Mus musculus: one gene and its partners. The protein of the gene in region 1 purifies or fractionates together with the protein of each later gene. This does not show direct contact. Links are inferred from orthologs where the notes say so. Each region holds a gene or a part of one and is shown in the gene's direction. Other genes may lie near its edges. The genes, in order: Sirt7, Ubtf and Mybbp1a.

Region 1 (7,314 bases):
CTTGCTGCTGTGGTGGCATTGAGTAGGGCTCTGCAGGGAATTGTGGGGACAGTGGCCCAGGAGCAATGTCAGGAGCATTTGCTGCGTCATCTCAGACATCAAGGACAGCAGCATGTGGGGCCCAGCCCTTCATAGCCATCTGATGATCCAGTTATGACTCTACAGCAGTAACTCTGCAAACCTGGTGGCTACTAAAGACCAATTGCAGCTCTTAAACGCGGTCTAAGCACCGTTTGAGGTTCCTCGATGTATTGGAATTACCTGCCAGGGCGGGCACTTCTCTGCTCTTAAGCAACAATGTATACAGGGCTTCCCCAGCCAGGATCCAAAGACTCCTGGCTTCTAGATGGTTTTCTTTTTTGTTATTGTTGTTGTTGGTTGGTTGTTTGTCTCTCGTGGAAAATGACTTAACACTCATCTGTCTGTAGAGGTTTTATGTTAAGTTGGAATAAAAACCTCAGAGCCGCAGGATTTAAGTGTGTGGACAGAGCGCTTCCTCCCGGGGCTATTTGCTAAGCATGACCTGCGCTCTAAAATCTGTTCCTTCAGACACTGATGCGCCTGACCAGTTGTCCCCTTCTGTGTTCAAGACAGATGTGGACACAGCTGCTCACTGTTAGAAAGGATCTTGAAGTAGAGTAGGGTTCTCTGTTTGGTATGTGGAAGGGTGAGCTGGTCCAGGCAGGACAAGAAAGTCACTTGGATGGAGGGAAAGAGCCATACTGGGGTGCATCCCACTTGAGAGTCAGGTCAGCAGTGGATGGGACAGACACTGATTTATAGGCATGTCCTCTGTGGGGAATACTGCAGTACCTGTGGTATCTCTTTTTGTCCGAATGTGCAGGCAGCTTCTATCCCAGATTATCGGGGTCCTAATGGAGTATGGACACTGCTTCAGAAAGGAAGGCCTGTGAGGTGAGCATGTCACAGCTTTCTCCCACGATTAGAGGCGAGCTGCGTCATCTGGCCGCCCTCTCACCTCTGTTTTCTCCAACCGTACAGTGCTGCCGACCTAAGCGAAGCGGAGCCTACCCTCACCCACATGAGCATCACCCGTTTGCATGAGCAAAAGCTGGTAAGAAAGCCGGCCATGGTGGCGCACACCTTCACTCCCAGTGCCTGGGAGGCAGAGGCAGGGGGAGTCTCTGGGTTCATGGACAGCCTGGTCAAGAGTGAGTTCCAGGACAGCCATGGCTGCACAGAGAAATTCTGTCTTGGAAAAACAAAACAAAAGAACAAACAAAAACAAAAAGCTGGAAAGAACCCAGAGCTATACCTCAGTGCCCAGGTGGGAAGCCATCCTGCCTCCTAGTCAGCCCTGTGATAGATAAATAGTCTAGTAGCTCGGACATCTGTGTGCTCCCTGCTCTGCTTTCTCTTCAAGAAGAGTAGCTGTAGCCGGGCGTGGTGGCGCACGCCTTTAATCCCAGCACTCGGGAGGCAGAGGCAGGCGGATTTCTGAGATCGAGGCTAGCCTGGTCTACAAAGTGAGTTCCAGGGCAGCCAAGACTACACAGAGAAACCCTGTCTCGGAAAAAAAAAAAAAAAAGGAAGAATAGCTGTGGTATTCAGGTTCCATTCAGGGCCTTTAGACGACAGCCTAGCTTCAGAGGAGACTCAACAGAAACTTCCAGAGATCCGCTGAGCAAGCGGGGAAGCAGATATGCCTGGGATTTGGGGGAAGGGACATGAAAGATGATGGATGACCCAAGAAGTTATCGATCCAAGGTGTGTGTAGTCCTGCCCACCCTATGTGACCAGTGCCCCAAACTGCTGCTCAGCTTGCAGGACCAGGACAGATGCTTGCCCTCCTAGCTGCTCCCAGTACATTAGAGTTAGTAGAAGAGAAAGAACATGGCGCCTTTCTACCTCAGGGCTTTCCTGAGTTGCCTCCTTGTTTTAGGAACCTTGTCCCTTGTCTCTGGGCTTAGAATAACTCCACTGCCGCAGGGTGCTTCCTCCTGCCACCTTACTTACTGCCACCACGTTCTGTCTTCCAGGTGCAACACGTGGTGTCTCAGAACTGTGATGGGCTCCACCTGCGGAGTGGGTTGCCCCGGACCGCCATCTCAGAGCTCCATGGGAATATGTATATTGAAGTGAGCAGTACCGAGGGGGACCCGGGGCCTGGGTGACAGGCAGATCTCACTCACTGTGCCCTCTCTGTCCCAGGTCTGCACCTCCTGCATCCCTAACAGAGAGTATGTACGAGTGTTTGATGTGACTGAGCGTACTGCCCTTCACCGACACCTGACAGGCCGGACCTGCCACAAGTGCGGGACCCAGCTTCGGGATACCATTGTGCACTTTGGGGAGAGGGGGACATTAGGGCAGCCTCTGAACTGGGAGGCAGCGACCGAGGCTGCTAGCAAAGCAGACACAATCCTGTGTTTAGGGTCCAGCTTGAAGGTATGTGCCGACCATACCATGAACTCGTTGTGGATTGAGCATGTTGCTGGCTTGCCTCCCCAGAGCCATCAGCCGTGAGCGGGTGGTAGGTTTGCGTCTTACTCATCCTCCTCTACTCTGTTGTGTCTGCCCGCTGGAACAGGTACTAAAGAAATATCCCCGCCTCTGGTGCATGACGAAGCCTCCAAGCCGTCGACCCAAACTCTACATCGTGAACCTGCAGGTAACAGCGGGTGCTTAGAGCTTCCTCCTCAGACCCGGGGCTCAGATGGGAAGAGCCGGGGAGATCCTGAAAGTCTTGTACAGGTTCCATTGTGTTCCTGGGGAGTGGTGAGCCAGTCTGCCGGGAGGCCCTCATCTGCCTTCCTTGTCTTTAGTGGACCCCGAAGGATGACTGGGCTGCCCTGAAACTCCATGGGAAGTGTGATGATGTCATGCAACTCCTCATGAATGAACTGGGCCTGGAGATTCCTGTCTACAACCGGTGAGTGGGCGCAGCGTGCCCCCTGCATTCCTGCCCCGTCCCTCCCCTCCGTGTGATGGGCCGTGTCTGTCTGCTGTGGGCCTCAGAGGGACTGGCTGAGGCAAGGCTCCACCACACGTGCACACTCTTCCCCCCTGACTGGTACGGTGCCCAGAATCTCTGAGGGGGATCTGCCAGTGTGCTCTACAGGATGCTCCCACAGATGGTGTGCAGCCTGGGTGGACAGCCGAGAGGGGTGAGAACTGCAGCTCTGGTCAGACACAATCTCTGTCCTTGGTGTGGGGATATTTGGGGAAAACTGAAGCAAATTGCCTTGATACAGAATTGTGATAATTTAGACTTGGTGTGTATATTGAGTGAAAAGTTTACACTTTCTTTCTCTGTGAATTTTCAGGGTCTTATAGGGGAAATCAATAACTTCTTTTAATCAAAGGGTTCAAGAAATTAAGGATCCCTTCACCTCTGGGCCTGGCAATTCTTGTATGTTATGTTTGTGGTGTTCTGTGACGTGGGCCTCTCCTGTGCCACATTGTTGATGTTGTTATTGGTTGTTGTTGTTGTTTTTTTTTTTTTTAACATTAACTTAGCTCATTTTTTAATCAGTGCTTACTTTTATCTTACGTTTATAATATGTGGTTCTACATTTCAATCAGACACATGATTTCTTCATGGTGTAGTCTGTAGGCCACACCTCCCCAGTCAACCGGCCTCTTCCCGCCCCCATCCCTGTCACGCAGTCTGGGAAAGGGAAAAGGGTCTGGTCCATCTGCCCCTATCCATACAAGTGAGAGACGGGGCCCAGAGTTGCTAGCAAGTTATCCTTGGAGGTGAGGCCATCCTGTGGCTAGCACTACCCCTTCCTATGTGTGCAGCTCCCACCAACAGTGGGTGAGACAGAAGAGGCTGTCGAGCGAGGGCTGCTGCTGCCCTGAAGACTTTCCCCTGCAGCTTGGTGTCCCCTGCAGCTTGGTGTCACTGACGCTGCTTCCAGCCAAAGCCCAGATTAAGACATAGGTGGGATGGCAGGTGGCCTCAGACAGCTTTCCTGTGCCTGGGAGGGTTGCGATTCGAGGGGTTTTCAGACCTGCCTGATGCTGCTTTTCTTTCTGTTAGGTGGCAGGATCCAATCTTCTCCTTGGCGACCCCCCTCCGTGCTGGTGAAGAAGGCAGCCACAGTAGGAAGTCACTATGCAGAAGCAGAGAAGAAGCCCCACCTGGGGACCAGAGTGACCCCCTTGCCTCAGCTCCCCCTATCCTAGGAGGCTGGTTTGGCAGGGGTTGTGCCAAGCGTGCAAAAAGGAAGAAAGTGGCATAGCCCGGAGTTGACAAAGAACAGTTGGCACTTTGCAGATGGCTTGACCCTTGTTCAGGGGCTCCGCCCGTGTCGCCGTGAAGGCGAGAGTGCCCCCTCCGGCTCTAGTGGGTGCCGGCTTCGCGGTGACGGTCGTCTTTAGCCATTTGTCCTTGTGGAAAGGCTCTCTTGCACTGCTGTGACTGCCCCGCTATGGGCTTGATCTTCAAGGACACCTCCCTCCTGTTCACCCCTGTACAAAGGTGGCAGCAAGGCCTCTGTGAGAAGAGCTCCGGCCCTTCCCAGGCCTGGCCAGCAGGAGAGTCCACCACTGCCTTACCTCACTCTCCAGGCTAGTCTCAGGGCCTCCCTCTTTCTACTCCTTATCACGTACAAGTGTTCACTTTATAGAAGCCTTTTTCTGTATTGGGTATGCGGCACAGGGAGAATCTAACTAAGCCTCCAGTCTGAGCAAGTCTTATTAAACATCTCTCAATTGCTTTGGTGTCCCGATGACTGTCACACGCACCACCGAGGTGCCTGCATCTGAGGGCCTGCATCGAGGCGCTTTTGAAGAACCCAGCCCCTGAAAATGCTTTTGGTTGGTTGGTTTTTTTGAAACAGGGTTTCCGTGTGTAGCCCTGGCTGTCCTGGAACTCATGAGATCCTCCTGCCTCTGCCTCCCAAGTGCTGGGATTAAAGGGGTCGCCACCACTGCCCGGCTCCTAAGAATGCTTAAGGCACGGGGTGAGCTGCACGCACAGTTGTGGTGCTAACCTGCCCCGTTCGTCTGTGGAGAAGTCAAATGCCAAAGCCCGGGCACCTGCAACACAGACCATTGGCCGCTCGATCTGGGCGGAGGGGGGTGTGGCCCGGCTGGGGGCGGGGCCCTGGTTGGCGCACGCCATTGGCTGCGCCAAGCGGGTGAGATCCGCGTGAGCACGCGCAAGCGTCGAGGGCGGGGCGACGGTACTGTGTGTCGCGGGAGCCGCCAGGATTTGCGGGGGGCCTCCGGTGCCATGATCCGGAACGGGCACGGGGCTGCCAGCGCTGCTGGGCTGAAGGGTCCGGGAGATCAGCGCATCGTGCGGGTGTGGTGCGATGGCTGGTGAGTGGGGCGACGAGGGGAGGGCGGTCACCTGGGCGTCACGCACCGGCCGTTGGCGGAACCGGAGTCTTCCGAGGCCGCACGAGGCAACCTGGCCTCCGGTCACTTAGGAGTGTAGCGTACAGACACGGGTGCATCAGACGGTGCGCTCCCCGAAAACCGGAAATGCGGCTGTCTGTTCGCCTTGGGCATTTACCCAAATTACCTGGGCTGGAAGGCTGTGAGCTTCTCTGGCAAATCAGCCCGTGACGTCTCCAAGAAAGTCCTGGAGCTGTCAACAAGCCGAAGAGATAAGATGTTGGCCTTTCTATAACTTACCATCTTCAGCCCTTCGTCGTGCCTACCCCTGGTGGATGAGAGGCATTCGGAATGGTCACCAGGGCTCCTCAGGGCATTCATGGCGGAATAGGCTAGACTTTGTGCGTTTCTTGTTTGTCTTTGGTTGGTTGCTGAGGATGGGAACCATAGCCTTGTGTGCTATATATGTACAGGCAAGTGCTCCATCACTGAATTACAACTTCAGTCCCCTTCTGTTCTTTTGCACCTGAGTCACCAGCTTTGACTTCGTGTCAGTGGACTATGACCTTGGCCCCACCATGGTGCCACAAGCCCAGATGCAGACTCTGACCTTTGATCTAGCCCTGCCTGTCTAGTGGGCACAAGGGCTGTCCTGGAATTTGCCCGTTATCATGTCCCACCTCCCACCCCGTGCACTGTGGTGTTGACATGATGATAGCCCACTAGGGCTCTAGAGGAAGCAGAGCAGAACCTATGGCCCAGCACTGGCCCATGGCAAAGAATACAGGTGGTCCCAGGGATATCCCACTGGGATATCCTCAGTGTCCAGCATATTGCTGGCTTCTGCATAGCTTGACCTTGACAAAGTACTTGTGGCCAGACCTAGATTTGAGGATAAAAGCAGGTGACAGGCACTTGTTCTCTCAGAGAGCTAAGCCAGCCCTGGGGGTGGGGAACTGTCCACTTGTGTCAGGGTGGAAGTATCTGCTCCCAATGCAGGACTGATCTCTTGTTTCCAAGCTTGAGTGTGGCTTGTTGATCCAGGGGGACTATTCTTGTTTAGGGTGCAGGAGGTTCCATATTCAAATCCTAGATAATCTCTTGTATCTTGCGGGCTGGGAGTGTAGCTAGCTCAGCTGGTATTATGCTGGCCCAGCATGCACAAGGTCCTACATTTGTTTTGTAGCACCCAACAGTTGGCTTTGGGTGGGAATCTCAGCAGATGGAGTCAGAAGGGTTGAGAGCTGAAAGTCGCCGGGCGTGGTGGTATACACCTTTAATCCCAGAATTTGGGAGGCAGAGGCAGGCAGATTTCTGAGTTCAAGGTCAGCCTGGTTTACAAAGTAAGTTCCAGGACAGAAAAAAAAGGGTCAAGAGTTGAAGGTCGTCCTAGGTTTTATAGTGAGTTTGAGGCCAGCCTGGGCTACATGAGACCTTATTGTCTTAAAAAAAAAAAAAGAAAAAAAGAAAAAAAGAAAAAGAACTGAAGCAGCTTGAAATGCCTGCCCATAGCAGGAGGCACCAACAGGGCAAAGGCAGTCTAAGACATGGGAAATGGTTAAGCATCTGCCAGTGAACAGCTGTCTTGGGAGTTCACCAGCCAGGCCTTGTACCTGAATTTGCCACTCTTGCTAGACCTGGCACCCAGTCCTGCCCTAGGTCCAGTACTTAGGGTATGGACAACTGAGAACCGACTTCTCTGCTGTAAGCCCAACACCGGGATCTGGGCTAGGAGCCCTGGTGGGGGCCTCTCAGGGAGCCGTGCTGCATCCCACACAAGACCCTCAGTCTCCTGTCTGTCCTCACAGCTATGACATGGTGCATTATGGCCACTCCAACCAGCTACGGCAGGCACGGGCCATGGGGGACTACCTCATCGTGGGTGTGCATACGGATGGTAAGGTGGGGCCCGATGTGCCGGACAGTCCAATGGATTAAGCCTACAGGGCATGGGGTGGGGCAGAGGGGCGGGCAGAATGGTTCCAGCTTCCTTCCCCAGAGCAC
Region 2 (5,688 bases), about 18 Mb from region 1:
CTGAAATGGATTCATAAGGCCCTGGAGCAGCGGAAGGAGTACGAGGTTAGGCTTCCGCTGCGCTCCTCCCCATCCGGCTCTTCACGAGCCTTTGCCCTCTGACTCGTGCCACAGCGTTCTGCACGTGGCAGTCGTTCCCTGACCTTCTACTGAGGGAGGGGCCTTTTGGGCCCCTTTCCTCTGTCCCTACCGTCTTACAAGCCCCGTTCCCACCCGAGAGATCTCAGGCTAGGGCAGAGCAGGACACCATATTGCAGATGACACAGCAGACACACAGACACACGGCCATCCCCAGCTTTGCTCCCTGCCTCCCCTCCCCAGCGGCTCTCCCCCTTATGTTGTCCCCGCTAACCCCACACCCCATTACCCTCCGCTCCCCTACCTCCCTCTGCAGGAGATTATGCGGGACTATATCCAGAAGCACCCTGAGCTGAACATCAGTGAGGAAGGCATCACCAAGTCCACCCTCACCAAGGCCGAGCGCCAGCTCAAGGACAAGTTCGATGGGCGACCTACCAAGCCGCCTCCGTGAGCACCGCCCTGGATGGGTGGGCGAGTGGGCCATCAGGGAGTTGTTCGTGAAGAACTTGAACCCAGTCCCGTTTGCTCATGGGTGTGCCTTCCTCCGGATTCAATAGGAACAGCTACTCCCTGTACTGTGCGGAGCTCATGGCCAACATGAAGGATGTGCCCAGCACAGAGCGCATGGTGCTATGCAGCCAGCAATGGAAGCTGCTCTCTCAGAAGGAGAAGGATGCCTATCACAAGAAATGTGACCAGGTGCGCAGGGCAGGTGCCAGGCCACCCCGAGCTCGGGGTCTTGACTTGGGGTTTAGCGCATGAGCTTTGCCTGGGCTCAGTAACTCACTGATTACAGGTGCCTCAGCCACCTGCCTTCAGCCTGGGCCGGGTTTAGCCTCCCCTGTCTGTCAGGCCTCTTGGCTGCCATCTTCAGGGGGTGAGAAGGTTACATACACCCAGTCCCTAGGGGCCTGCTGAGGCTGGCTGGCCCAGGAGAATGGAGGCTGACCCCAACTCACTGAATCCCCTTACTTTCCTAGAAAAAGAAAGATTATGAGGTAGAGCTGCTGCGGTTCCTTGAGGTAAGTAGGCACCACCTTGAGGTGGGCAGAGGGCGCATTCTGGAGTCCGAGGAGCCGGCCTACCTGCCTGCTGCAGCCCCATACCCTTCTTCCTACCTAGAGCTTGCCGGAGGAAGAGCAGCAGCGGGTTCTGGGGGAGGAGAAGATGCTGAACATCAATAAGAAGCAAACCACCAGTCCGGCCTCCAAGAAGCCTTCACAGGAAGGTGGCAAGGTGAGTGTCCCATGCCCGTGGGGGTGGGGGCCAGGATGGAGCCGCTCACAGGAGGAGGCTAGTGGCAATTGTACCTCCGATACTCCCCGTACTTCCCTTAGGGTGGCTCCGAGAAGCCCAAGCGGCCTGTGTCTGCTATGTTCATCTTCTCTGAGGAGAAGCGAAGGCAGCTACAGGAGGAACGACCTGAGCTCTCCGAAAGCGAACTGACCCGCCTTCTGGCCCGCATGTGGAACGACTTGTCCGAGAAGAAGAAGGTCGGGCCTTGGAGAGACCCCCTACTACTCTTCCCTAAGGGTCTCCTGGGCCACTTCCATGCGCGCGGTTACAGCCGCTCCCCGGCACCAGAAGTGAATCACACGTGTACCGTGTACCCGGGCTCAATTGCTGGGGCGGGAGCCGGAAGAAGGGAAGCTTTCAGCTTCCTTGTTGGCTCCCTTGGAGAGCGGCCCCATGGGTGGGGCGGAGCTTGGTGGACGTCACTGCTGCCCACGGCTTCTGCCGGACCCGCCCTCCTCAACAGGGAGCCGGCAACGAATGCTGGGTGGGCTTAGCGCGCCCCCTAGGGGTGGCCCGAATGTTAACATCCTTGCTTTTTCTATAGGCTAAATACAAGGCCCGGGAGGCTGCGCTGAAGGCGCAGTCTGAGAGGAAGCCGGGCGGGGAGCGTGAAGATAGGGGCAAGCTGCCGGAGTCGCCCAAGAGGGCTGAGGAGATCTGGCAGCAGAGTGTCATCGGAGACTATCTGGCCCGCTTCAAGGTAGCGGAGAGTGGGGAAGGATCGGTTTATGGTCTCTAGCAACAGACCCCCTCCCATAACTGATATCCTGGGTTTGTACCTTAGAATGACCGGGTGAAAGCCTTGAAAGCCATGGAGATGACTTGGAACAACATGGAGAAGAAGGAGAAGCTGATGTGGATTAAGAAGGCAGCAGAAGACCAAAAACGATATGAGGTGGGAAGGGGTTGGGCCACCTGCCTCCATGATGGGCCAGGAGGGCCAGCTTTGTTTAAGACCCTGAGCCAGTCTCTTAACTTCCGGCCTGGCATAGGCTAGGTGGGCGTCAAGGTACTAGCCTCTTGGGTGATTTTGGCGGGGGGGGGGGGGGGGGGCGGGACGGGACTACTTCCATTTCAGGGAACATTTTTGAAACGACCCTCTTGGTGCAGTGACTTGTCCAGCAGTTGTTTTGAGAAGAGTCCTGCTATGGATCCCAGCTAGCTACCACTACCAGCTCTAGCTCCTCCTGCCTTAATCTCTGCCGAGTTGAGATCTCCCCCGCCAGTGGGGTGGGGAGTGCGGGTGTGGGTGTGACCTCTCCGTCTCTCTCCACAGAGAGAGTTAAGTGAGATGCGGGCCCCTCCAGCTGCTACAAACTCTTCCAAGAAGATGAAGTTCCAGGGAGAACCCAAGAAACCTCCTATGTAAGCCTGAGGCTGGGACCTATGGTGTAGACAGGGCTTAGAAGGCGGCTCCCTTAGGACCCTGACTGTCCCTGTCACCCCACGCTGCAGGAACGGTTACCAGAAGTTCTCCCAGGAGCTGCTGTCCAATGGGGAGCTAAATCACCTGCCGCTGAAGGAGCGCATGGTGGAGATTGGCAGCCGCTGGCAGCGCATCTCCCAGAGCCAGAAGGAGCACTATAAGAAGCTGGCGGAGGAGCAACAGAGGCAGTACAAGGTGCACTTGGACCTCTGGGTCAAGGTGAGAGAGAGGACAAAGGCACCTTGGAAGGGAGTGCCTGCAGGGACTGGGAAGTCCTGCGGGGCAGTGGGTACTGACATTTTTTAAAGCTAAGCAAGCCAAGGTATCAAGTCATTTGCCAAGGTTACATAGTAGACAGTTTGTGTAGACTGGGTGCTCTTCGTTCAAGCAAGGACCAGGAGACTTGTAGGGCCTGGCTAGGCTGGCAGTCTCCACTGCTGTGCTTGAATGGTCACATTTGTCCAGGGAGAATTACCTGTCACTCAGATAGGCTAACCAAAGACCCAGAGGGATGGCAGGAATTCAGTGTTCAAGAATTTTGTCAGTCTTCGTCGTCATTTCAAAGACTGGGGTCCAGGTGGGGTTGACCTCGTGAGTCATTGGGGGGGGGCATGCTTTGCAGTTAAAGAAGCCCTAGGTACAGGGCTACCATTTGGAAACGGCAGTTGGGGGTAGGGCATTGCTATGAAAACTGACTTGGTTCAGTGTTCAGAATCAGGAGTTATGTTCTGAGCCCCTAAAAGCTTTCTGCAGGGACCCAAAGTTTAGGAGACTGAGTGTAAAGATAAGGTATGTGGGAGCTCTGCCCAGTGGACGTCGGCGTATGCAGCCAGCTGTAGGATGGGGTTGATCTTATTCCCAGTTCTTTCTCCCCAGAGCCTGTCTCCCCAGGACCGCGCAGCATACAAAGAATACATCTCCAATGTAAGCAGGAGCACAAGGCAGTGGAGGGGGAGGCTGGAGGGACTCTGCAGGGGCTGGGACTCACTTCAGCCCCCTTCCCATCCTTTCTGTCAGAAACGTAAGAACATGACCAAGCTCCGAGGCCCAAACCCCAAGTCTAGCCGGACCACCCTGCAGTCCAAGTCGGTAAGGCACCCCTGCAAGGTGGGTGGGTGGCTGGCAAGGTGGGTGTATCTGGCTGCTGATGCGTCTCCACACCTCCCAGGAGTCCGAGGAGGATGACGATGAGGAGGAGGAGGACGACGAGGAGGAGGAGGAAGAGGAAGATGATGAGAACGGTGACTCTTCTGAGGATGGCGGGGACTCTTCTGAGTCCAGCAGTGAAGATGAAAGCGAGGATGGGGATGAGGTGGGCAGGAGGCGTGGTGGGAGGGAGGGTTGTTGTAGATCACCAGGAGGGCCACACACACGGTGACGGTGGGGTCTTTATTCTCCCAGAATGATGATGACGACGACGATGAAGATGACGAAGATGACGACGATGAGGATGAAGACAACGAGTCTGAGGGCAGTAGCTCCAGCTCTTCATCCTCAGGGGACTCTTCGGATTCTGACTCCAACTGAGGCTCAGCCTCCACCCCAGGCAGGCAGGCAGGCAGGCAGCCAAGGAGAGAGCCCCTGCAGAGCTCATCTCCCCAACTGACAACCTTTGACAACCTTTGTCTCTCCCTGTGTTCTGTCCCGTACCCTCCAGACTTCCCCACTTTCTTTCTTTCTTTCTTTTTTGTTTTTTAAATCAGTGGGGGGTAGGAGGCTGCATGAGCCCAAGCTAGGACTCTGCAGCCTTGGAGCCTCAGCTCCAGGGTTCTCCAGGGACAGCAACCATCAGACTGAGCCAGCGCTGGACGGGCCCACCCTGCCCCTCTTCTGCATTTGCAGTTCCGGCATGGACAATGGACTGGGGAGTTTGGGGGTGGGAGAGAGTCTTAAAGAGTTTGGTGAGACCTCCACACCTGCAGCCTGCAGCAAGGTGGATGTTCGGGGGGCCTTTCCTTCCCAGATGGGCTTGCTACCTGGACCCCCCACATTGAACTGGAGGGAGACAAGGGTGCTGCCTTCAAGAAAGCAGGCAGTGGCCCTGTCCCTCTTCCCTGCCCCTGCAGGAAGGAGCTGCCTGGACCCGTTCGTGGGGGAGGGGCAGAGTGTTTTTTTATATATGTGTGTATATATTTTTTTTTTAAGCTCTGAGCTGTCAACGAGACGTTTCCTACCGATCTCGGCTGCCGTCTCTGTTGTCATTTCTGGGACTGGGAGGGCCTGGGATGGGGTGGATTGAGACTTAAAAAAAAAAAAAAGGTCTAGGTATGCATAGAATGTGTGTGAGGCTGTGTGTGTGTGTGTGTGTGTGTGTGTGTGTGTGTGTGTGAGGCTGTGTGTGTGATGTGCACACACGTGAGCGAGCGATACAGCATGACTGCGCCTGTGGATAGGAGAGAGAGAGAAGAGTGTGTGTGTGTGTGTGTGTGTGTGTGTGTGTGTGTGTGTGTGTGTGTCTAGAGCCTGTCTCTTTGAATCTGGAAAAAGGGTCGGTAGAGGCCTGGGAGATGGTGTCCCTAGCAGGAACAAACCAAGGCTGCCCCTCCCTGCCATCTTCCATTGTGGGGTTCAGGGACACCACCTGATGCTTCCTATACTAGTTTGCCCCTGCCAAGGCCATGTCCCTGAGCTGCTGCAGGTCTGTGCTGTCCAGCAGGAAAGTGGGAGGGGCAAACCATGGCATGAGCCTTAAAGCTTTTCTCTGGTGCCCTGGGCTTCAGGAAGTTCTTCCTGCCTTGCCCCGTGTCCTCTGGCCATCCCCATTTCCTTTGAGTTCTCAGGTCTGCTCCCTCTTTCCTGCCGCCACCCCTGTATGCAGAAGATGCTCTCTGCAACTGCTCCTCTAACTGCTTGCCAGCAGTTTGGGACCTTCTGAAGAGGGTCAG
Region 3 (7,310 bases), about 48 Mb from region 1:
GGTTTGAGGGTTTAATTTTTTTTTTTAATTAAAATGATACTTTTAGACGGGCAGTGGTGGTACAAGCCTTTAATCCCAGCACTTGGGAGGCAGAGGCAGGTGGATTTCTGAGTTCGAGGCCAGCCTGGTCTACAGAGTGAGTTCCAGGACAGCCAGAGTTACACAGAGAAACCCTGTCTCAAAAAAAAAAAAAAGATGCTTTTATCTTCTGTGTGTGTGTGAACTGCATATATGCACATGTCCCACATGCTTCTTCTGTCTGAGGTCAGAGGAGGGCTTTGGCTCCCCTGTAACTGGGGTTACAGATGTGAGCTGCTATATGGGTGCTGGGAACTGAACCTTGATCCTCTGCAATAGTAGTAAGTGATTTTTTGTTTGTTTGGTTTTGTTTTTTTTCCAGACACGGTTTCTCGGTATAGCCCTGGCTGTCCTGGAACTCACTCTGTAGACCAGGCTGGCCTCAAACTCAGAAATCTGCCTGCCTCTGCCTCCCGAGTGCTGGGATTAAAGGCGTGCACCACCGCGCCCGGTTTAGTAAGTGCTTTTCACTAACACGCCATATCCCTTGTCTCTATAATTTTGTTTTTTAAGGCAGAGTCTCCCTGTGTAATCCAGTCTGGCCCAGGCACTGGGATTACAGGATCACCAACACAGTCAGCTAATTGTTTTGTTTTGTTGGCTTGGGGATCAAATTTAGAGCACTGATGTGCTTGGCTGGTGTTCTATTTCCATACCATATCCCCAAACCCAAGCTAGCAGAGCTCTTAATTGTACCATCTCCACTTCTCTCTCAGACAAAACATTGCTAGGCGCAATGATTCCACCATCTATTCAACGATTTTAGCTTTTAGCCTGGTGTCCTTTCTAGCAAATCATCTCCTTTGGCCCAGGTCATCGCCTACGTTGACATTTGCCATAGGTTAGCCAAGGCCTTACTCCAGCATAATTCACTGCCTCGGTACTCACAGCCACGGGCTGTGGCTGCTCTCAGCTAACAGTTGACCTTTTAAAACTGTAAATCAGATGTAAATCCTCCCTGCACTCTCTGAAGAAATTCTGAACCCTTGAGCCTGGCCCTGGGTTCTATATAACCTTGCTCCTGGCACCTGAGTCCTCCTCCTCACCTTACTGACCTCATTCCCGTAAGAGATGAGTGGCCTCTGTAGAAGAAATGTCCTTGGCCTGCTCTTAGATTTTTGCCCTGGGGACAATAGAGCCCATCTTGTCCCTCAGCTGTCAGCTCACATGTCAGTCTTGTCATGGTCTCTTAAATAGAATCTTAGAATCTATAGAATTTTCCCTTTAATTTTTTTTTTGGTTTTGTTTTTGTGTGTGTGTGTGGTTTTGGGTTTTTTGGTTTTTTTTGTTTTGTTTTGTTTTGGTTTGGTTTGGTTTTTCGAGACAGGGTTTCTCTGTGTAGCCCTGGCTGCCCTGGAACTCACTTTGTAGACCAGGCTGGCCTTGAACTCAGAAATCCACCTGCCTCTGCCTCCCAAGTGCTGGGATCAAAGGTGTGCACCACCATGCCCGGCTTCCCTTTAATTTTTTTTTTTTAAGAAAATGTTGTTTATTTTATTTTATTTTTTTTTTTGTTTTTTGTTTTTTTTTTTTTTTTGGTTTTTCGAGACAGGGTTTCTCTGTATAGTCTTGGCTGTCCTGGAACTCACTTTGTAGACCAGGCTGGCCTCAAACTCAGAAATCCGCCTGTCTCTGCCTCCCAAGTGCTGGGATTAAAGGCGTGTGCCACCACCTCCCGGCTGTTTATTTTTATGAATACACTGTATCTGTCTTCAGACACACCAGAAGAGTGGATTGGATCCCATTACAGATGGTTGTGAGCCACCATGTGGTTGCTGGGAACTGAACTCAGGACCTCTGGAAGAGTAGTCAGAGCTCTTAACCGATGAGCCATCTCTCCAGCCCCTCCCTTTAATTTTTAACAGGCGATGTTTTCACGTTTTTTAACATTTAAAAGGCTCCCTCTGCTCCCTACATTCCTTATTTTCCTCATAACTATCATTTAAAATGTATTTGTCTACTCGTTCATCAACCATCTCTTCCCACTAGAAAGGAAGTCCACAGAAGCCGCGGCTTTGTTCGGATGCACACAATAAAAGCGGAATAATAGCGGATGTCTCGGACTAGATCGCGAGCAGACCCGGGTCTGGGAAGAGATCATACTACGGCTTTTTCGTGGATTTGTTTGCACCTCCGGTCGTCAGGAACTCCTCCAGGTTAAAGGAAGAGATCGAAGCATCAGTTTCTGAGCACACGCGCGTGTGAGAACACTCTGCTCCACCCACAGCCACAAGGGAAAGGCAAGGCCGTACGGAAGCCACTTCCAACCTGCTAGGCCCCGCCCTCACTCGGACGTCCCAGTGCGCAGGCGCCGAGACCTGACCTGGAAGTGACTGTCTTCTGAGCCCACGTGTTTGGCTCAGCATGGCGGAGATGAAGAGCCCCACGAAAGCTGAGCCTGCGACTCCCGCAGAAGCGGCGCAAAGCGACCGCCACAGCCTGCTGGAGCACAGCCGCGAGTTCTTGGACTTCTTCTGGGACATTGCGAAACCGGATCAGGAAACGCGGCTCCGGGCCACGGAGAAGTTGTTGGAGTACTTGCGCACAAGGCCCAATGTATGATGGAGGGGCCCAGGCCCATCGTGGCTCTGGATGCAAGGGGGAGGGGTGGGCCCTTCAGATCACTGTTGAACACGAGGGATGTTCTTGGTTCCGTAGGATTCGGAGATGAAATATGCCCTGAAGCGCCTAATCACTGGGCTTGGGGTGGGCCGAGAAGCCGCTAGGCCCTGCTACAGCCTGGCGCTGGCACAGGTGAGACTGTGTGTCTGGCAAGGGCACGATCTCGCTGGGCAAAGGTGGCGTCTAAGGGTAGGGGGCACCGAAGCTGCGGGGTAAGAAGAAATCCGAGATGCTTCAGAGGGGATACAGGCATCCTTACTTGGGTGGGAGGAAGTGCCAAAACATGGCCTATGTACAGCAAAGTCCAGGCAGGTGGAAGAGTTGAACACGTTTTCTTTCTGATACACGTTTATCAGCTACAGAGTATTAGCTACAGTTACTGGAAGTAGTGAACTTTGAGGTTGATTTCTGCAAGGTTGGGGAGCCGCCTCCAGGTTAGGAAGGCAACTGATGACAGACCACGTAGAAATTTGTACAGCAAAAAGCAATGAAGACTAACCAGCCTCAAGGCAACTCAGAACAGGATCTTTGGATGGGATGGGTTTTCCCAAGAGGTACAGAAGCAGCCTAGGCCTTCTGAAGCCTTGATGGAGGTGGGGCTTAGCCATGTAAGATGTGGTCCCTTGAAAGCAGTAGCGCTTGTGAGGGATGGGAGGAGCACGGAGATTATATTGGGGAAAGCTGAAGGAGGGAAATGGACTTGGTCTGGTTTGTTGTCCCTGGGCCACTCCTGAGCTCTTTCTGGTCTTGCCTGGTAGCTGTTGCAGTCTTTTGAAGACATCCCATTGTGTGACATCCTGGATCAGATACAAGAAAAATACAGCCTACAAGCCATGAACAAGGTGCGTGAGATTCCCAGACAGACAACCTGCTCCTGAACAGCTATGGGGAGGGACCCTCTTCACCTGTGTTTTCAATCTTTTTCTAGGCAATGATGAGACCTAGTCTCTTTGCAAACCTTTTTGGAGTGCTAGCCCTCTTTCAGTCAGGCCGCCTAGTGAAGGTAAGAGCTTTTGGCACGGGGCGCAGGGACTGGTTTAGGGCTGGAGGGGAACAGATGGTAACAGACCCTGCTCTTCACCTTTTGCTCTCTGTGGATACCAGGACAAAGAGGCCCTGATGAAGTCCGTGCAATTGCTGAAGATCCTGTCCCAACACCCCAACCACTTACAGGGACAGCCAATAAAGGCTCTGGTGGACATCCTCTCTGAGGTAGAGAATCACAAGTCATGCCGTCTGATTTGGGAAACGTTGAAAAGATTTGGGTAGGAACATGATGAGGACAGATGGTTTGACCATGCAACTGGTATGAGGAGGTTGTTTGTTTGTTTGTTATTCCTCTCTCACCAACTATCTTAAATCTGCCTTGTCTTTCAGGGTCTCAGCACATGTCCACTCAGTTAGGCAGTTCAGATACTCCATAACCCTCTCTGGTGGCCTTTGTGTGGCTAGTGTGGGTCTGGAACAGTGCTTGTCAATGCCTGAGTATGTAGAAGGCAATCTGAGTACATTTGCCATAGTTGGTTTGGTCAAGCCTGGGTCTGTTTGTATCTAGAGTCATTTGCCACTGTCTTGTCCCTGATTTGTCCTTTTGGCACAAATGGAGACAGACCAGAATTTAAGTTGCAGCTCCCCACATAGGGCTCTGTGTATATGACACCGGCTAGCCCTCTTACAAAACAAAAAGAGGTATAGTTTTGAATATAGACCCCAGGCCAGTTAGTCATCAATACAGTGCTGGGGTCTGCTGCTTGGCAAGTTGACTGACTAGTGGTGTATCCGAAGCCCATGGGTAGAACAAGACCCACCCTTTCCACCTGTGCCCCCACTCCAGGTCCCAGAGTCCATGTTCCAGGAGATCCTGCCAAAGGTCCTCAAGGGTAACATGAAAGTGATCCTCCGCTCTCCCAAGTACTTGGAGCTCTTCCTCCTGGCTAAGCAGAGGGTGCCGACAAAGCTCGAGTCACTCATGGGCTCGGTTGACCTGTTCTCAGAAGACAATATTCCCAGGTTTGAGGAGATTGTGAGTGGGTTCTCACGGGGGTGTCCTGCACTGTAGTCCTCCGGGTAACGTTTACTGAATCTCCTCTGCCTTCTAGTCTGGTGAACATCCTGAAGGTGGCCGCCAACTCTGTCAAGAAGGAGCACAAGCTGCCTAATGTGGCTCTGGACCTGCTCCGCCTGGCGCTCAAGGAGAGCAGATTCGAACTGTTCTGGAAGAAGGTTTTGGAGGAGGGGCTGCTGAAGAATCCGTCCTGGACATCCAGGTGTGTGTGACACTGGTCTTCCCTCTCCTCCAGCCTGGGTGGGACCTGATCAAGTACAGGGCCTCTGACCAGGCTCTGCCCCAACTCTCCTTAGCTACATGTGCTTCCGCCTACTGGGTGCGTCTCTGCCGCTTCTGTCAGAGGAGCAGTTGCAGTTGGTGATGCGAGGAGACTTGATCCGCCATTTTGGGGAGAACATGGTTATTTCTAAGGTAGGTGTCGTCTTCCCATGTGGTTCAGTGCTGCCTGCAGGGCCAGGGCAGGGGTTCTTCCTCTGAAGATCTGGTAGGGGAGGACTTGGCCAGTAATCAGGCCCTTTTGTCCTGGGGCCCACTTACCAGCAGGCCCAGCCAGCCATCTATTTGGAACACTGCTGGGGGGGTCACATTGAGGGGAGTGGTTATTGACCCCAGTGTGTTCTGCATTTTGTGCCTAGCACCTGTAAGACAGTGATGGGGGTGGGGGGCTATACAGAAAGCACTTGGGTTTTGAGCCACAGGATGGCACGGGTAGGTACTGGTCTATCACGACTTGAGCTTAGGTTCCCTTCATGCCAGTCAATCTTGTCCGCAATCTTTGAGGGAGAATTGGAACCTTCTTGTGCTGGGGATGAACTAAGGAATCAAGGATAGACCTTGATGGAGTTGTGGCAAAGTTAGGTTCAGCCCTGCTGTGTGACTGGAGTGGCGAAGTCCTGGGTTTAGTCTCTATAGACAAAGGTGGTTGCCTGCCTCTTCACTCTGATAACCCAAACTCATGCTCATCTCTTGCAGCCCCAAAACCTATTTAAGATCATCCCAGAGATAAGTACATACGTGGGTACCTTCCTAGAGGGGTGCCAGGATGACCCTAAGCGGCAGTTGACTATGATGGTGGCCTTTACAACCATCACCAATCAAGGTCTCCCTGTCATGCCTACCTTCTGGCGTGTCACGCGGTTTTTGAATGCTGAAGCCCTGCAGAGCTATGTGGCCTGGTTGCGGGACATGTTCCTGCAGCCTGACCTGAACTCCTTGGTTGACTTCAGCACTGCCAACCAGAAGAGAGCTCAGGACGCCTCGTTGAATGTGTGAGTGGCACGTGTCAGGAGCTCTGAGGAGCTCAAAGCCTGAGTGCCATGGCTTCAAACTAGAGGCAGGAGAGGAGGAAAGTTAGCCCTTGGTTGTGCCCTTGTTTCTCCTGACAAGAGGTCGGGGCAGGGTGCGGGTGATCCCGGGGCAAAGGGGTACCCTGTTTCTGAGGTCACTTACATGGCCTCTGCTTCCAGGCCTGAGCGAGCTGTATTCCGGCTCCGGAAGTGGATCATCCACCGCCTGGTCAGCCTTGTGGATCATTTGCATCTGGAGAAGGATGAAGCTGTGGTTGAGCAAATAGCCAGGTGTGTGAGGGACACTGTGGGTGGCATGACTACGAAACTAGGTCCCTTGCCTGGTCCTTGTTTGGTTCCCGTGGAGCCAGAAGCCTTCAGGTTACGTTGCTGGCATGCAATAGGGTATCTACTGGGTATGCTTCCTATGGAGGAAAGAGATGAGGGAAAGCAAAGGTTCAGACTCAATCTATGGGTTCTGTAGCAAGCAGCTCTGGCTCCTCCACTTGATCTCAGGTGGCCTGCTTATGTTCAGAGGGTCAAACTAGAGAAGTGGCCCTTGCATGGTCCAGTGAAGGGCGTCTCCCCATGCCGCTGCTGATTTGCTCGCAGGTTTTGCTTGTTCCATGCCTTCTTTAAGACGAAGAAGGCTACGCCCCAGATCCCAGAGACGAAGCAGCACTTCTCCTTCCCTTTGGACGACCGCAACCGTGGGGTCTTTGTCAGTGCCTTCTTCAGGTAGGTCTGGGCTACCCAGGAGATGAGGACACTTGTTTTTTTCTGAACTGTGAACAAGGTCAGCAGGCCTGGGATTGGGGCAGGGGGCTGAACCCCAGGGTAGTTGGAGGGGTTGGGTGTGCTAATGCTGTCTTGTGAAACCTCCCTCCCTCTTACCCAGCCTACTGCAGACGCTCAGTGTGAAGTTCAGGCAGACACCAGACCTGGCTGAAAATGGGAAGCCTTGGACTTACCGCCTGGTTCAGTTGGCAGACATGCTGTTGAACCATAACCGCAATGTAACCAGTGTGACATCCTTGACAACACAGCAGCGTCAGGCCTGGGACCAGTGAGGGCATGGGATTTCTGGGGGTGGAGGAGGGTGCCCTGTCTGTCTGCCAGTGGTGCCTGCAAATGTGCCCCTGCCCCCCTCTCCCCCCCCCAGGATGATGAGTACTCTGAAGGAATTAGAGGCCCGCTCCTCTGAGACCAGGGCCATTGCCTTCCAGCACCTGCTGCTTCTGGTGGGCCTCCACATC

Evidence for each region.
Region 2: the proteins of Sirt7 (region 1) and Ubtf purify together in Homo sapiens (affinity purification with western blotting; 3 studies listed by BioGRID, with this or other methods). This does not show direct contact. The link is inferred for Mus musculus from reciprocal best matches to the Homo sapiens genes SIRT7 and UBTF.
Region 3: the proteins of Sirt7 (region 1) and Mybbp1a purify together in Homo sapiens (affinity purification with western blotting; 3 studies listed by BioGRID, with this or other methods). This does not show direct contact. The link is inferred for Mus musculus from reciprocal best matches to the Homo sapiens genes SIRT7 and MYBBP1A.

The regions. Positions count from the first base shown.
Region 1 is NC_000077.6:120,615,742-120,623,055, reverse strand, and holds the end of Sirt7 (NAD-dependent protein deacetylase sirtuin-7), read left to right. Parts: intron 1-844; coding exon 845-915; intron 916-1,002; coding exon 1,003-1,075; intron 1,076-2,000; coding exon 2,001-2,099; intron 2,100-2,172; coding exon 2,173-2,409; intron 2,410-2,551; coding exon 2,552-2,632; intron 2,633-2,786; coding exon 2,787-2,893; intron 2,894-3,287; exon of another isoform or gene 3,288-3,765; coding exon of another isoform or gene 3,766-3,907; intron 3,908-4,006; coding exon 4,007-4,208; 3' UTR 4,209-4,685; downstream 4,686-7,314. Other genes in the region: Pcyt2 (ethanolamine-phosphate cytidylyltransferase), read left to right, coding at 5,204-5,292, 7,119-7,207. UniProt on the Homo sapiens protein: NAD-dependent protein-lysine deacylase that can act both as a deacetylase or deacylase (desuccinylase, depropionylase, deglutarylase and dedecanoylase), depending on the context. Specifically mediates deacetylation of histone H3 at 'Lys-18' (H3K18Ac).
Region 2 is NC_000077.6:102,305,283-102,310,970, reverse strand, and holds part of Ubtf (nucleolar transcription factor 1), read left to right. Parts: coding exon 1-45; intron 46-394; coding exon 395-528; intron 529-638; coding exon 639-780; intron 781-1,061; coding exon 1,062-1,103; intron 1,104-1,203; coding exon 1,204-1,317; intron 1,318-1,418; coding exon 1,419-1,574; intron 1,575-1,921; coding exon 1,922-2,077; intron 2,078-2,161; coding exon 2,162-2,272; intron 2,273-2,653; coding exon 2,654-2,742; intron 2,743-2,832; coding exon 2,833-3,022; intron 3,023-3,679; coding exon 3,680-3,727; intron 3,728-3,820; coding exon 3,821-3,892; intron 3,893-3,971; coding exon 3,972-4,115; intron 4,116-4,204; coding exon 4,205-4,330; coding exon of another isoform or gene 4,331-4,409; 3' UTR 4,410-5,688. UniProt on the Homo sapiens protein: Recognizes the ribosomal RNA gene promoter and activates transcription mediated by RNA polymerase I (Pol I) through cooperative interactions with the transcription factor SL1/TIF-IB complex.
Region 3 is NC_000077.6:72,438,942-72,446,251, forward strand, and holds the start of Mybbp1a (myb-binding protein 1A), read left to right. Parts: upstream 1-2,385; 5' UTR 2,386-2,442; coding exon 2,443-2,634; intron 2,635-2,736; coding exon 2,737-2,832; intron 2,833-3,458; coding exon 3,459-3,542; intron 3,543-3,628; coding exon 3,629-3,703; intron 3,704-3,804; coding exon 3,805-3,912; intron 3,913-4,534; coding exon 4,535-4,710; intron 4,711-4,799; coding exon 4,800-4,967; intron 4,968-5,061; coding exon 5,062-5,179; intron 5,180-5,740; coding exon 5,741-6,036; intron 6,037-6,234; coding exon 6,235-6,345; intron 6,346-6,666; coding exon 6,667-6,792; intron 6,793-6,952; coding exon 6,953-7,120; intron 7,121-7,216; coding exon 7,217-7,310. UniProt on the Homo sapiens protein: May activate or repress transcription via interactions with sequence specific DNA-binding proteins. Repression may be mediated at least in part by histone deacetylase activity (HDAC activity).